Alligator mississippiensis: one gene and its partner. The protein of the gene in region 1 purifies or fractionates together with the protein of each later gene. This does not show direct contact. Links are inferred from orthologs where the notes say so. Each region holds a gene or a part of one and is shown on either strand. Other genes may lie near its edges.

Region 1 (7,862 bases):
AGAGTAGAAATAAAAAATGATAGAGATGAAAGCACAGCAGGATGGTCATAGCTCTGTAACAGTAACCATATTGTTATGTTGGGCAAGGCTATTGTAAATATGACATACAAGTGCATATAATTTCTTGAGAGAAGTTCTTCTTTGGGCTAAATCTCCCCATCCCACCATTCTCTGAAAATGATTCTTCTTCTTGCTCTTATAATTTAAGAATCAAATCTCCTAGACTTCTAAAACAAAACACTTGAAGCAAGTGCATGAGAAAGGTAAGTATTTGGAAATCTTTATCGGACGTAACAGATTTATGTACGTCTCACAGGTACATCAGCAGATCTTCAAACTTTTCTTCTTGACCTTCTTTAAATTCTGTAATGTGCATTTTATACCATATGGCCCACAGAAAAATTGCTTATTCAGTTCAAATTTCTGCATGTTCTGTGGTTGCATGCTGTAATCCACATCTCAACCTACAAAAACACGCAACATTTGAAATCAACAGGAAGAAATGTCTCTAGAACTATCTGACCTCTTCTTCTAGGTCCCATCATTTTACACCAAAACCTGAGCATATTCAAATAAAGCGAACTTGCACTTTTTCATATTCAAAATTCACAGAAGAGACACGTACCTTCTTCAGTATATAATCACTCACCTTTTCATTTTATAAAAGTGAAAGATTATAACATTGAGGTAATATTGTAATAGGGAGGTTAGCTATATACAAGTGTCAGGAAAAAAGGGTCTCTTTCCCCTCCTATGAGTGTTTAGATCTACCACCACATTATTGAAGTTAGGGACTTGGGGAACTGGTATCTACTTGAAAATGTAGAACTTTAGCTTGATTAAGTATTTGTAAGCATTATTGACTGGAATCTGGTTGCAATACTCCTTAGAGTAAGTAAACCACAGCACTTAAAAGATAATGCAAACATTTAAAAGTTTACCTAAAATATAGTCAACTGCACAGTAACAAGCTTAATGGCATTTTTTTCCCACAACAGACAAAATTGTTCCTTTTCCAAAGCACACAGATTTGTTTGTCCATTTTTTTTCCCTTATTGGGTATATTTAACACTAGGCTTATGCACTTCTGTCCTTTGCAAACATGTCCTGTCATTTGTTGAGTGGACATCAGAACTACTGAGACATCCGCCTGCCCTAAATTCCAAGTTTGTGGTCCATCATTTGACAAACGATTCCACCATGAAAACTGTCCAGGTGAAGTAGACATTTGGTAACCTCTACAGTTATGAAACGCAAATTTGTTGTTCAATTAAACAATTTCAGTGGCAACCCTAGCTATACCCCATCACCTTACCTTTCTGTATTGGTATTTAATTTCAGAAATTGCTTGATTTCAGCAGTTTGTTCTAAACTCCTAGTGAAACATTAAGTGCTATTTTTATGTGCAATGGATGATATGGTGTGATGAAAGGAGGCTAAAAAAATTCAGTGTTTTCTGGTAATGGTTAACTATTATTCTAGTTGACAACTGGACAGCTGAAATGGAGTAGAGCCCTCCTTTAAAAAAAATTGAATGCATCTCATTAGATGGCAGATTTTTAAAGCCAAAGTCAATGTCCTTTCTCATAGCCTTACTTTCTGGATCTGAGATTTTAGTCAGAATAATGCTGGGGAGGGGAGATGTGGATGTATCTTTTACATAGAGATGCCAAGTTATAATTTTGAAAAAAAAATATGTTGGTTAAATCCTTAAATATTTTAGGTGTGCATGAACTTACCAATGTAGTTTTATTGGAGGCCATTTTTATTGCAGACTTGCAGAGCTTTTACTAGAAAAATGCATGACAATTAAAAGGAAGTTTACATTACTCAGAGAAAGGCATCTCAATACAAGCATGGTCCTTTTTCCAACCCCCATGTGTTCACTGTATATGACATTCAAGTGTGGATTCATCCAGAACAAAACTAGGTTGTTACTTTGTCTGGTGTAACCCAAGACCACATGGTGAAACTAGTGACATAAAACCTGCACTTGCACCCGTGGTTAAAAAATGTCCTTTTTACAGGACGTTCTGAGGCACAGGGATGTTTCAGAGGAAGCTGAGGACCACCAGGATGCCTTATATGCTTGAACCCAGAATCATAAGAACTCAGATTGGAGCAGTTAACCAGAAGACATAACTGCAAGCATTTGCAAGTTGCAAAAGAGAGATTTTTTGCTGGCAGCAGTTCTGCAATAGTGAAACAAGTAGCCAGAGTCCCCCGGGATCCTTCTATATAACAGTCAAGACACATCCAACCCCAAGGCTGCCACCTGATCTTGAAGTTTGCAAGCATTAGGACTGGGATGCTGACAGGGCCTATGGAGGAGTGAAATATTTAAGCCTAAAGATAAATGTATTGTTTGACTGCACCCAGGCCATCCCCCACCTCCCCTCCCCCCTCGTCCTCCATGTTGGGCCTCAGCCTGGCCACTTCTTCAGGGACCCCCCCCACCCCGAAATTCTAAAACGGCCCCGATTTCACTGAAAAAGGCGATGGATAAAGCTCCAGAGAAGGCCAGAAAATCCCCTTCGACTCAGCCCCGCCGCCCCGGGAGCCCAGGCAGCGCGAGGATCCCGGGCCCTGGCCCCGCGCGGCACAGCCCGGCCCGGCCCGCCCAAGCAGAGGAGGGGAGGGGGAACAAAGGCCCGTTGCCGAGGCCCGGGAGGGGGGGGGCGGGGCTGCGCCACGGGCCTGCGCTGGGTGGGTCCCGGGCGAGCGGGCGCCCCGGGGCGGCCTCACGCAAGGCCGAAGCTCCCCGGCGGCGGCCTCCTCCGGGCCCGCGGGCATCGCCACGTCCCCCATCCCCTCCCCGGCCGCAGCGCGGGCCCCGGCGCCGGCCAGCGCGCTTTGTCTGCCGCACACGGCCGCCCCGTGCCCTGCGGCTCCCCCGCCGGGGCCCCTCCTCGGCCGCTCCTGCCCGCGCCCCGTGGGGGCTGCAGCGGCGCCGAGAGCGGCGGAGCGGGGGACGAGAACGAGAGGAAGGGAGAAGGATACAGACTTCACGGCGGCTCCGCGGCGTCCCCGTCGCCTCCTCGCTCCCTGCGCGCACTGAGCGCAGCGGCATCCGCGGCAGGAGGGAGGGCGGGAGGGCGAGCAGGCGGGAGGCCGGGCGCGAGCGGGGCGGGGCCACGAGCGGAGCGGGGCGGGGCGCTGCGTGCCTGCGTGAGGGGAGTTGCCACCGCCGCTGCTGCTGCGCCGGCGACGGGGCCACAGCGCAGGATATCGCTGCTGCTGCCGCCGCCGCCGCGCGCGCCGGAGCTGCCGCCTTCCCCTCCCCCCAAGTGCCGCGCGGTCGCCAGCGTAGCAGCGGGCCAAGACGTCTCTCCCACGGGAGCCTAGCGCAGCGCCGGGGACCCAACCTCGCCGCGCGCCCAGGCGGAAGAAGATGCCTCGCGGGGACCGGGAGAGCGACTGGGTGAGTCGCCAGCGGGGACGCAACATGGCGGCGGCGGCTCCCGCAGCCACGGCCGGGAGGGAGCGGGGCTGGGCCGGGCAGCACAGGGCGAAGGAACCGGGCTAGGAGAATGGCGCAGGGCGGGAGCACTGAGGGAAGAAATCCGCTCTTAGTGGTTCGCCCTGAGGCGGGCGGACTGGGAAGGGCCGGGCCCGGGAACCGAGGAGTGGGCCGCGAGGGTTTGTCCCCGAGCGGCTTCGGCCCTTCCCAGAAAGCTGGAAGAGGGAGCAGCCTCCGCCGAGCTGAGCCGAGGCGCTTCGGCTCCGGTCGGCCACGCGGCGCCTCACGATTCCCTTTCCGGAAATGGCCGAAGCGGAGCGTGAGCTTGCCGGGTCCCGGACTCGCTCCTTCCGGAAAGAGCCGAACTTCCTCGGCCCAGCGGCCGCCGCCGTTTCGACTTTTTCCGTCAGGCGCCGAAGCAGAAGAGCTCGACGACGACGGACGCTTCGGCTCATTCCGGAGGCGGCCATTGCTCCCGGAGCCGATGTTTTTTTTTCCTTCCTTTTCTGCGGACAGTAAAACACAAAGGGGAGCTCGGTGCCACGGCCCAGTCTCTTCCCCCCTCTCGGGAGCCGCGCGCTTTGGGCAGGGCAGGGCAGGGCAGGCTGGCGTGAGGTGAAAACAGGTTGACCGCGAACCCGAATTTCAAATTGCGTAACGGCTGAGGCAGCCATTACTGGGCCTGTCGCGTGCGCTCGCACCCGGGGCCGCCCGCACCATGAAGAATATGGTACGTGCCTGGCGGCGCGCGGGGCTCGGCCGGGGGGAAGGGGTCGCGGCACCCCCACATCCCCTCCTTCCCCCCCCCCCCCGTGGGTCGCTAGAGCCGGCCCGGGCCTGAGCGACAGTTAGAGGAGGAAAGTTCTGGAAGCGCCGAAGGCGGTTGGGGCTGGCGCGGGGGGAGGGAGGCGGGGGAGGGGCGGGTCGATTGCCGGGACCGTTGAACCGAACGACAGCGGGGGGAGGGCCCGCGTGCCCCTGGCGACTGCCGGCCGCGGTGCCCCGGCTTTTAATGGCGGTAACGAGGCGGAGGGAGAAAATGGCGGCGCGCAGATAGGCTCGTGTGTGAGGAGGGCTAGCGGCTCCGCGCCAGGATGGGGAGGCGGGCCGTGAGCCAGGGCAGCGCCGCGGCCAAGCTGGTGAGAGGCGGCGTTGGGGGGGAGGGGGGCTGCGGTTTCCTCAGCCGGCTGCGGGTGCAGCCGGGCCCCGGAGGGCGGCGCGCGGCTTCTCGAGGGAGGCTTTTCTCCTGCCGCATCGCTTCCCCGGCAGGCGGCGGCTTGTGGGCGCCATTTTCCTTCTCCGCAGCCGAGCGGCCCCGGCTCCCGGCGCTGCCACATGGCTGCCACCTGGAGCGCGATGTGCTCGGGCCCTGGAGGCAGCGCGCTCCGGCGCAGGGGCAGGAGGCGCCGGCTCTGCCCGCGCAGCCGCGCATTGCTCGGAGCGGCCTCTGCGCCGCAGCTCCCGACCGCGCGCCGTTTTGGCGGGCGTTCAGCGCCGGGATGCGGAATCTTCTCCCCCGCCCCTCAAATTTCTAGCCGCCATTTTTTGGTGGCTTTGCTCTTGCAGCAGTTGAGACGAATTTGTTTTATCTTAGTGTACTAGGGCAGAACAAGGAGGCTCCCAGTAACTTGATAAGCTCTTCCCTTGCACAGGATACAGATGCTCAACCGGCTTTTCTTTTGGCATTTTGAAACAGTTTCCTTCCTCTCCCCCCCCCCCATCCAGATTTCATCAGCAAGCAGGTAAAAGTGAGGTGCAGACATTTTGCTTTGCCAAGTGTAAAACTGCAGTTTTCAGTATAGTGGGTTGGTTTAATTCTGACTTGTAAGCTAACATTCACACTCCCTAAAACTCAGGGGAAATAGTCTTAGTCCTAAGGCTCTGTCTTTGCTAAGGCAAAAACATTGTAATGAATGTGTTAAACATCCCAATGCATGCAACATATTTGGTGGCTGTCCAGTAAAGGTAAATCCTCAGAGGAACAAGAAGTAACACACTTAAGCATAAGGCTGAGTAACAAAGATCATTTGTAGGCTAACTAAATTAGAGATGCACAAACTTCCATGAGCCTGAGCTTACCTCATGAAGTGATGTGAGCATGTGCATTTCTGATTTGGTTAGTCTACCCTGCGTTTCTGCTTGACTTCAGAATGACTTGCCTACCTATCTCCCTCTAATTGTACGTTGTCATCAGAGTTCATATCCTACACGAGGCCGACTGCTTGCCTGAGACTTCACTTAAATGCATGTGTATACGCACGCATGCATGCAATGATATATTAAACAGTAATGTGAACCATCATTTAATATGGAGATTAATTATAGTAGTCTTTTCCCTTGGTAATCCCAATGGCTGCCTGAAAGCTTGTCTTACATTCCCCTTCTCTCTCCTCCCTCCCCCCATTATATAGTTGGTCCAGTAAAAGACATCACCAAAACTCTTGCTCCTCACATTTCTTAGACTAGTGGTTCTCATCCTTTTTAGATTCAAGATACCCCAAGGTAAACCAAAAGCGCTCTTGGACAGACTCATGGAACGCCTCAAAAAATGTCAGCTCTATTTTTAAAAGTAGTAATATTCACTACTTTTTTGGTTACTGAAAAATAGAGCAGTTTTATTTGTTGTAAAGAATTTGGAGACACCACAACTATGGATTTCTATTTGAAATCTCTGGGTGTATCTTGTGACTTATGTTTGGAAACCTAACAGTGCTAACATTGTATAGTACCCTTGAAAGGATGTCAAGGCATGCCACGAGGCCACGTACTGTGGTTGAAAATCACTCCCTTAGATCAGCATTTCCCAACCGTGGCACATGGGTGTGGAGCCACACCCCCTGCCCACTGATGCTGTGGACACGGGGAGCATGGCTCCAGCCCAAAATGCCATCCGGCTGGCTGCACACAGCTTCCCCTGTCCCCATCCAGTGTGCTGTTTGTGCTTTTTTTATTCAGGTAAATGTGCTGTGGGGCAAAAAGGTTGGGGGGCACTGCCTTAGGCCATGTGGGGCTACATGCTCCAACCCTCCTTTCCTAGTTGTATTATTCCCATATGGCAATTGCTTATATTGGAGAAAGTAAATTTATTTGTAGTTGTCTTGTAAGGAAGTTGTAGCCTACAAGCAAACCTTACCAAGTGTCCTGCACCACCAATGATCCACAGGCTTGTTTGAGAACCAGTAGTGTAATTTTATTCATTTCACTTTTTTAAGTGACTTAATGCCTAACTTTTTCTAGTAGGTATTGGTTACAGAGTTGAAATTGCTCTGGTTTTGTTTTTTTGTTTTTTTGTTACAGTAACATAAAATACCTATAGAATTAGTCTGTTGGCATGCCAAATGATAGTGATTTGATCTAAGTTTTATTAGTACTTGCTTTAAATTGTCCTCTTCCTTTCTTCAGTTCCATTTAAAGTTTTGTAATGTGAAAGGGTGGTTGGTGAAAAATTCATTAAAATCTACGTGTTTGCAATTATTTTATGTTGTAATAGTGCAGGTATTCTAGTTGACTGTTAGAATTAGGCCTTTAGGCTTTTTTTTCCCAGTGGTTAATGCACTTGGCTTCTTGGGCTAATTTTCCAACTTTTCAAATGCAGAAAATGATGCTGATGTTCTATTAAACTGTTTGAATCTTGATTAAAAAGCATAGTAGAAGATGTATGTGATGCTGTTATTACACTGTTGGCAGATGCAGTATTCATTTTTTCTAAATAGTTTTCTAGGGGTTTATTGGGGCCCATGTTTGCAATACATGATTCAGTTTTTTCAAAAAGTCTGAGTACTACACAACTCAGGCTCTGCAGACAGTTCTAAAGAAGTACAGGGTAAGGCTGTAACTTAGAAAAATGAACAGTGCAATTTCTGCAATCTGAAATTATAGTCTTGGTTTGAAGTCATTATCAAAAGCTGTTTTGGCATTGCTTTCAGTGGTCCTTCTTCCATGTCTCACACTAGTTGAAATCCTGCCTAGGCAGCATCAAAAAGCTTTTATTAGTCTGAATAGTTTATTGGAAAATAAGTTGAAGTGATAATCATTTTAAAGCAGGTTACAAACACATTTATAGACAAAATTGGCAAGTCTCTCTTTAGACTAGTTCTTTTTTATTTTTTTAATTTTTTTTAGGGTTGGAGAGAATAGGTAGGGGAGAACTTGCACCATTTTATTAGTGCTGGATTAGCCCTTCAGGTACATTCCATAAGTAGGGACTTTCCAAAATGTAGGTGGCAGGACAGGTGATTTCATGGTGCTGACTGCCATTTACATGGTCTCTGCGGAGTGGGCTCCCTGAAGCCCCTGATTGGCCAAGGGGCCCCACCCCCTCACTGCTGGTTGGTGGAGAAGGGTAGGGAGGGCCACATGCAACGCAGCCCTCTCAGCCAATCACTGCTAGCTTGGCTGCCCC
Region 2 (6,854 bases), on another chromosome or scaffold:
CGGTGCCTTTTCGCAGGGGGTGTACGTGTACCCACTTGCACCCCCTATGCGTTGCCAATGCACAGGGGCTTACACATGTGATGCTGCAGCAATACTAGAGCATTCTAATTAGAATGCAGAGCAGACTCGATTAATCTAATTAGAACGTGTCAGAGCACATGTATGGGCACCCTAGGTCTGTAGCCTCATGATCGGGGCACACTAGAAGAGGAGAGCAGTAGATTCTGGTTCCTACTTTCAGGGTCATTTATTCATCTTTAGACAGTCATTAGATAAAAAGCGGAAATAAACCTGGCAGTTACCTCACAGTAACCTCTTTATGTGCCTAGGCTTTCAGGAAAATAAATCTGAATTAACTTTTCATGTGGATTTGTTAAACTGCATTAAAGTCTGTGTGGTCACTGTTATTCAGAATCAAAGTGACCTTAATATGATTTATTTTACTTCACTTACAAAGTGAACTAAGCTAAATTGAATTAGGGCCACTTTTATATTGAATGAGTGTCTACAAAGAGCTTTAATGCAAAGTTACTATTCCACTTTAAATTTGCACCTTTAGCTAACTTGGATTAACATTTCTGAGTCTCCTGGTGTACATAAGCCCTTACAAGCTCACTTGTTTAAAATGGATGTTAGACTTCATTCAATTCCTATGTGGAAACTCTCATTCAACACTAAATGGCCTGTCTCTCTGCAATGGTGAGTGTTACCACCACAACATAGTCCTTACTTCTGCCTCATAAACTAGGTCTCAGAGGTAATCAAGACACTACTTTACGGCTACCTCTGTAGTGCTTTACTTGAGGAGGTTCATCCGCTCTTAGGTCATGGAGCTTTAAGACAAGCATGAAAGTGAAAAAGAGGTAGGAGGGAGACTGTCTTACCTGACATAATCAGAGAAGTAAACAAAAAAAAGGAAACAGCCCTCTGATGAAGATGGCTCATGTATTTGGAAAAGCAAGTTTTTTTGCTGGTATTGATTACATCTGGGGAATGAACATGAACTATATCAGAAACATACTTTTTTTTTTTTCCTTTTGCTGGTGTAAGGTACATCTACCTAGAAGGGAGGAGGGACCAAAGTGCCATCTTATGAAGAGTGATTTTTCCTTGTATGTGTTATTGAGATACTTATATCTCATATTTGAAATGAAAACCTCCATGATTTAAATTGTCACTTCCCTGGTATAGGGCTTCTGTAAATGTTGGACATAATTTCTTTGCTTTTTTCCAAACAATTTTTAAATTTTTATTTAGTCAATTTTAGTAAGAGCAATCTCTAAATTACTGAAATTCTTTGCCTCAGAGATGCATGGAATTTCTTGATAGCTGAGAAACAGTATTGTAGTGCTGGAAAATGTCAGAGGCACCATGCATTATGAGTGGTGCAGTGAACCATGACAGCCGATGGCTCTGGAGAGTGGCTCATGTGAGACTTGACAAGCTGGAGGAGTGTCTTTGTCTTTATTTTTGGACTTTGTAGCCAATCTACTTTCTTGGGATACAAATTTAAGCAGAGGCCACCACAAGACTTAAAAGAATCTTCCAAGTCTTTGAGTTCACTCTCCTGTTATCAGGGGCAAACATGTAACAATTTTTTCCCAAAAGGAGACCACAGTAGTATCAATTCTGGTCCCTCTAGCACAGGGGTGGGCAAAATATGGCTTGCAGGCCAGATTTGGCCTGCCAAGGGACTTTGTCCACCCCATGGTGGGTCCTTCAGTCCCACCTGGCCCAGGTGCATGGCATGGGCAGCTGGTTCCTCAGCTCCCGAGTGCACAGCGGTGCTGGGGCAGGGGCTGGGCTCTCTTCCTGGCAGCCTTGGCTCCTTCTGACTGCCTGGACCTAGCCCCGCTGCCCAGGCACCCCAGCTTGTCCACTCTGCACCCACTGCTGTTGACAGGATCTGCATGGGCAGGGTGCACAGCCAGGTGGATGGGATGGGGACATGGGGAAGGAGCAGTATTCAGGCGTGGTATGGGCAGGCAAAGCCAGGATCACAGGACAGGACCATAGGGTAGTGACAGCGTGTGGCCAGGACCCGGGGCAGAGCTGTGATCCACTGCCTGCATGGCCCTGTGACGGCTGTGGGTTCCATGGGCAGGGGTGTGTGGGAAGTGGATCGTGGATCTGCCCTGAGCCCCAGCCCTGTGCTGTCATCGCCCCATGGTCCTGGCCCCAGACTCAGCTGCAGCTCCCCATCTACACCCAGCCTCATCCCGTCTGGCTATGCGTCCTGCTTACACAGGTCCCGGATGGTCTCCATGAGCACCTTGGGATCTCTGTACACTGACAGCGCAGGGCTGTGGCCTGGGCAGAGCAACATACACTCCCTTGTACCCCTGCCTGCAGACCTGGCGGCCATCACAGGGGTGGTGTGGGCAATGAATCAAGTGTCTGCCCTGGCCCCAGCCCCAGCCCTGTGTTGTCACTGCTCTGTGATCCCGGCCCCAGCCCTGCTCGCCCATCCCACTCCTGGATGCTGCTCCCTGCCTGCCTGTGGCCCCATCCCAGTAGCCTGGCCAAGTGGGGAGCAGAGTCACTTAGGGAGTTGCATGGGGAGGGAAGGGGGTGCTGACCTGGCCAACAACAGCTCAGCAAAACTCCCTATGTGGCCCTCGGGCCCAAATAATTCCCCACCCCTGCTCTAGCAGGCTACTGTCACAAAGCACCTAACAATAACAATAGCACAACACAATCCCCAAACAAATGAAAACCAAAACTAATAAAATTAAACTTATGTTGTGCCAGAGAAAGAGAGATAGAGAGACAAAGTTGGCACCAATGCTTTGGCCACTGCAATGGTTGGGGGCTTGTTACATAAAATATGCTCAGATGATTCTAAGAAATGGAGCATGATCATTGCCAACCTGACCTGGGGGAAAATCCCTTCCTCACCCCAAGTACCATGTGATTGGTTTATCCCTAAAGAAATGAACAGGACCCAAGAGGCATGTGCTCAAGATGTCTCCTGGTAGCACAAAGAGCACCAGCTCACCCTGGTCAGTCACTCAGCTCTAATTGTGGCTCACCTCAGACATGAACTGGGTTGCTCCAGCATACTACTCCAAAATGTTGCCAACCTCTACATTAGAGGAAGACAAAAAAACCCCAAACAAACCCAAACCCAAATGCATTTACAGGGATAAAAAAAGTCTTCCTGATGCTCTCAGGCAACTAGCAAAAGCCTTGAAGCCTGGGATTGATACAATATAATATAGTGCAACAGGTACTGTGAGAGGGGCAGCGCTAGGAGGAGGCATGTAGGCGGCTATCGCCACCTCAGAATTCACCTTAGCCCCACAATAGCTCCCCCTCCTCTCCAGGCTGTCACCCGCCCGGCTCCTGCCTGCAGTGCAGCCCCTCCAGTTTACTGTCTAGCCCACCTCAGCCCCGCTGGGAAGAGCCTGGCGCTGCCCCTGGTTGTGAGCATCTTTAAGAAGAAACACAAGAATGAGCAGATGGAGTAAGTCTAATTTAAGAAGAGCCATCACAATTCATCTACCCCACCCTTCCTTATCTGCACACCCAAAACTGTGGAGTTTCTTATTATCTCATCACGCTGCTGTGTGAATACTTTCATGTCTTCAGCATGTCATTGAACTGCAAAAACGTTACGTTTGGTCTTCCAAACATCCTCTGCACTGACAAATGGATTTCATTTCATGTTGTAGGGACATTGTAAATTTGTAGTTTTAAGCTGGAATTAAGTGTGCTCGTTTCTTTATTCTTTTCTTCCAGGCTCACTCTTTGAGACTTTGGTCTTTTTCTGAGAAGTGTTGCTCTTTGAAATCGCTATGTAAAGCCTGTGTGTAATATTTCTTTCACTGGAGCTTGGACACTGTGGAAAGCATGGTCCTCATCTTCCCTGGCTCATGGGTGCCAGCTCCAAGCAGACAGTATGTTTCAGGGCAGTGCCATGCTTTCCTCGTCCTGTTCATCTCAGCATTCACTTTTTAATTTTCTGCAGCAACACGCAGCGTTGGGAACCACGCAGGCAACCGGCTGCCTGCAAGCTGTGTGCTGGGGATTGTGGCTGCAAGCGGGGTGTGAATGAGGGGGTGCCTCAGGGAGCTGAGCCCCTCCATAAGGGACAAGCGCCCCCCTGTAAGATTTGAAAACCATAACCTGTGTGGGGTGGGGTCTCCAATTGATTACTCTTTCCAATGAACCCTTTAATTACTTTTTTTTGGCAGACCACCCTTAGAGTCAACATGTAGATCGAACCCTGGCTGTCTGGGGGGGTCAAAATGCAACACGAGAAGGGGGGCAAAAGTGGACAGGCAATGAATATTGAAGCTGCTCCTTTTGTGGGGGTTCAGAGGTGGCTTTGAAGCTCTGACAGAGGGGAATATCTTTGAACACAGGTTAGCAGGAGAGGCGCCATTATCTTCAGGTCAAGGACAAGTGAAGCTCTGAGGGAAGGGAATATTTTTGCACACAGATTAATTAGCAAAGGGGGGGCCATTATCTTCAGGTCAAGGACAACCCAGGTGCCAGCCAGGCAGTTTCCCACTGTGGACAAAGGGCTGCCATGAGGTGACACGTGGGCACCACAATGGGCTGTGGGGAGGGTGATGGTGGAGCAGGAGCCCCCAGCAGGGGCTGCTCCCTTCCCCTCCCCCTCAGGCCCCCACACGGGGAGAAGCCACCAGGCTCCAAACGGCCACGGTGGGCGGGGCCTGGGCGGTGACGTATTTCAAACGGGCCAACGAGCGGGCGCGGAGGGAGGGCGGAGCCGAGCTCAGCCTCCGCCTGGGATTTTAAAGCTCCATCTTGGCCGCGGCGGCAGGATCTGGAGCGCGCTCCGCAGCGAGGAGGCGCAGCGGCCGCCCCCATGTCCCGCAGGAGGAAGGCGGCGGCGGCGGCGGCGGCGGCCGGGGGGAAGCCGCAGGGCAGCAGAGGAGCGGCGGCGGCAGCAGCAGCAGGGGTGTCGGGCGCGGCGGAGAAAGTTGTGTACTCGCGCTCGCAGGTGTCGTTCGCCGGCATCAAGGCGCTGGGCGACGCCATCAAGCTCTTCATGCCCAAGTCCACGGAGTTCATGCGCTCGGACTCAGAGCTGTGGGACTTCCTGTGCAGCCTCAAGCACGAGTTCTCGCCGGTCATCCTGCGCAGCAAGGACGTGTACGGCTACGCCTCGTGCCGCGCCGAGGTGCCCGCGCCCCCGCCGCCGCCGCCGCCCCGCGCCCGCCGCCGCCTCGCCCGGGCCCCGCCGCGCAGGAGGCCGCGCGCCGCGGAGGAGGAGGAGGCGGCGGCGGGGGCCTTCGGGGGCCGCTCTCTGGAGGAGATCTGGGCGGCGGCCACGCCGCGCCCGCCCGCCCTCCCCTGCAGCATCCGCGTGCGGGGCAGCGTGTGGGGCCGGCGGAGCCTGGCGGCGGCGCGGAGACAGGCGCAGCGCATCCTGCGCGTGGACCTGTCGCCCGTGGTGCGGCTCCGCCGCCTGCCCGTGGCGCGGTGCTGAGCGCCGGGACCGGACGGGACGAGCTCCGCGCACCTGTTCACACGGCCCCGCCCGCGCCGCGTCCTGCTGCACTTTAGAGACCCCCCCGAGCCCGGGGCCGCGGCCTGGCGGGGACTTGCCCGAGGAGCCGCTGGCAGCACTGGGATGCGCGCAGGGTGGCTGGACCCGGCTCCTCTGGCTGAAGCTTTTGACCAAGGATGTTTGTTGCCTCAGGAAGCAGGACCCAGGGTGGTGGGGATGGTGCAAAACCTTTCTTTTTCTTTCTCCCCCCCCCTCCCCCCCCCCCCTTTCTTGCCCAGCTTCGAGGCCTGGCTGGGCGCCGCGGACTTGTTATGCGTTTTGTATCCACAATCCTTTCTACTCTTTTATAGCTGACCCCAGGATTTGCTTTTTACAGAGTGCCCAAAGTGGCTTAAAGTGTGCGGCTCTTTTTTTTTTTTGACAGACCTGGGTTTGATTTGGGGGAAGTTGGAGACGCAGTGGTCCTGCCCGGAGAAACAGCCTGCAAAGAGAGGCTTGCTGAGGAGCTTCCAATACCCTCGTTGTGATCTTAGAGGGGCAAAAGGCTTGATTTCTAGACTGTTCTCATTAAAAGCAGAAACAAAAACAAAAAACAAACAAACACAAAAAGCAGCAAACACAAAGAACCATCCAAAGTTGGGGAAGACTGTTGAACATGTAACAAATGGTTTATGTGACTTGCCAGCCACTTTGGCTGCTTATAGAAGCAGGTGGTTAGTTAGAGTGGCTAACACCTAAATGCTACATGATTGAAGTACAATATTTAAAATAAACAGCAACAAAGCTTGATTTATCACCTGGTGTCTTCATAGCTAAATAAAACAATACAGGGTGTCATTTATCTGTCCTCTGCTAGAACTCGTACTGAGGCAGTTCCTTTTCTTTTTCTCTCTCTCCTCTCCCAGGGTAAAATGTGTGATCTCAGATACTTAGTCTATGGCTACAGGCTTGTTTTGCCTGGAGCTCTGTGTTTGGTCATCCTAAAGTACAAGTGGCTGTTTTTTTTGTGGTTGGTTGGTTTGTTTGTTTTGGGAGGGGGCAGGTATTCTTTTAAGGTAGCAGCTTAAACATTGAGATTAAGCTTTTTTTTATTATTATTATTTAATGTATAGTCCTAGATACATGTTGTAATGTTACAGGATTCCAAGTAATTCGTTTCTATGGAATTTATCCTCTAAAGCAAATGAGGTCTATAAAGTTGACATTGGGGAAAAAAGAGAATATGGATCCTTAACTGTAAAAGAGGAAGAAGGCATTGGCTTTGTAACTGTTAAATGATGTCCCCCTGGCTCTGAGAACAGGGCTTTGATCCTGACTTTCCTGGTAGAGTAAATGACCTCATGTACTGTAAACAAGTGTATGATTCAGTGGT

The links. The genes of interacting proteins can lie anywhere in the genome.
Region 2: the proteins of CBX3 (region 1) and CCDC71L purify together in Homo sapiens (affinity purification with mass spectrometry; 3 studies listed by BioGRID and IntAct, with this or other methods). This does not show direct contact. The link is inferred for Alligator mississippiensis from reciprocal best matches to the Homo sapiens genes CBX3 and CCDC71L.

The regions. Positions count from the first base shown.
Region 1 is NC_081828.1:156,757,952-156,765,813, forward strand, and holds the start of CBX3 (chromobox protein homolog 3), read right to left. Parts: upstream 3,101-7,862; 5' UTR 3,071-3,100; coding exon 3,005-3,070; intron 1,791-3,004; exon of another isoform or gene 1,764-1,790; coding exon of another isoform or gene 1,740-1,763; intron 1-1,739. Other genes in the region: HNRNPA2B1 (heterogeneous nuclear ribonucleoproteins A2/B1), read left to right, coding at 4,555-4,599.
Region 2 is NC_081827.1:27,292,425-27,299,278, reverse strand, and holds CCDC71L (coiled-coil domain-containing protein 71L), read left to right. Parts: upstream 1-4,759; 5' UTR 4,760-4,837; coding exon 4,838-5,461; 3' UTR 5,462-6,275; downstream 6,276-6,854.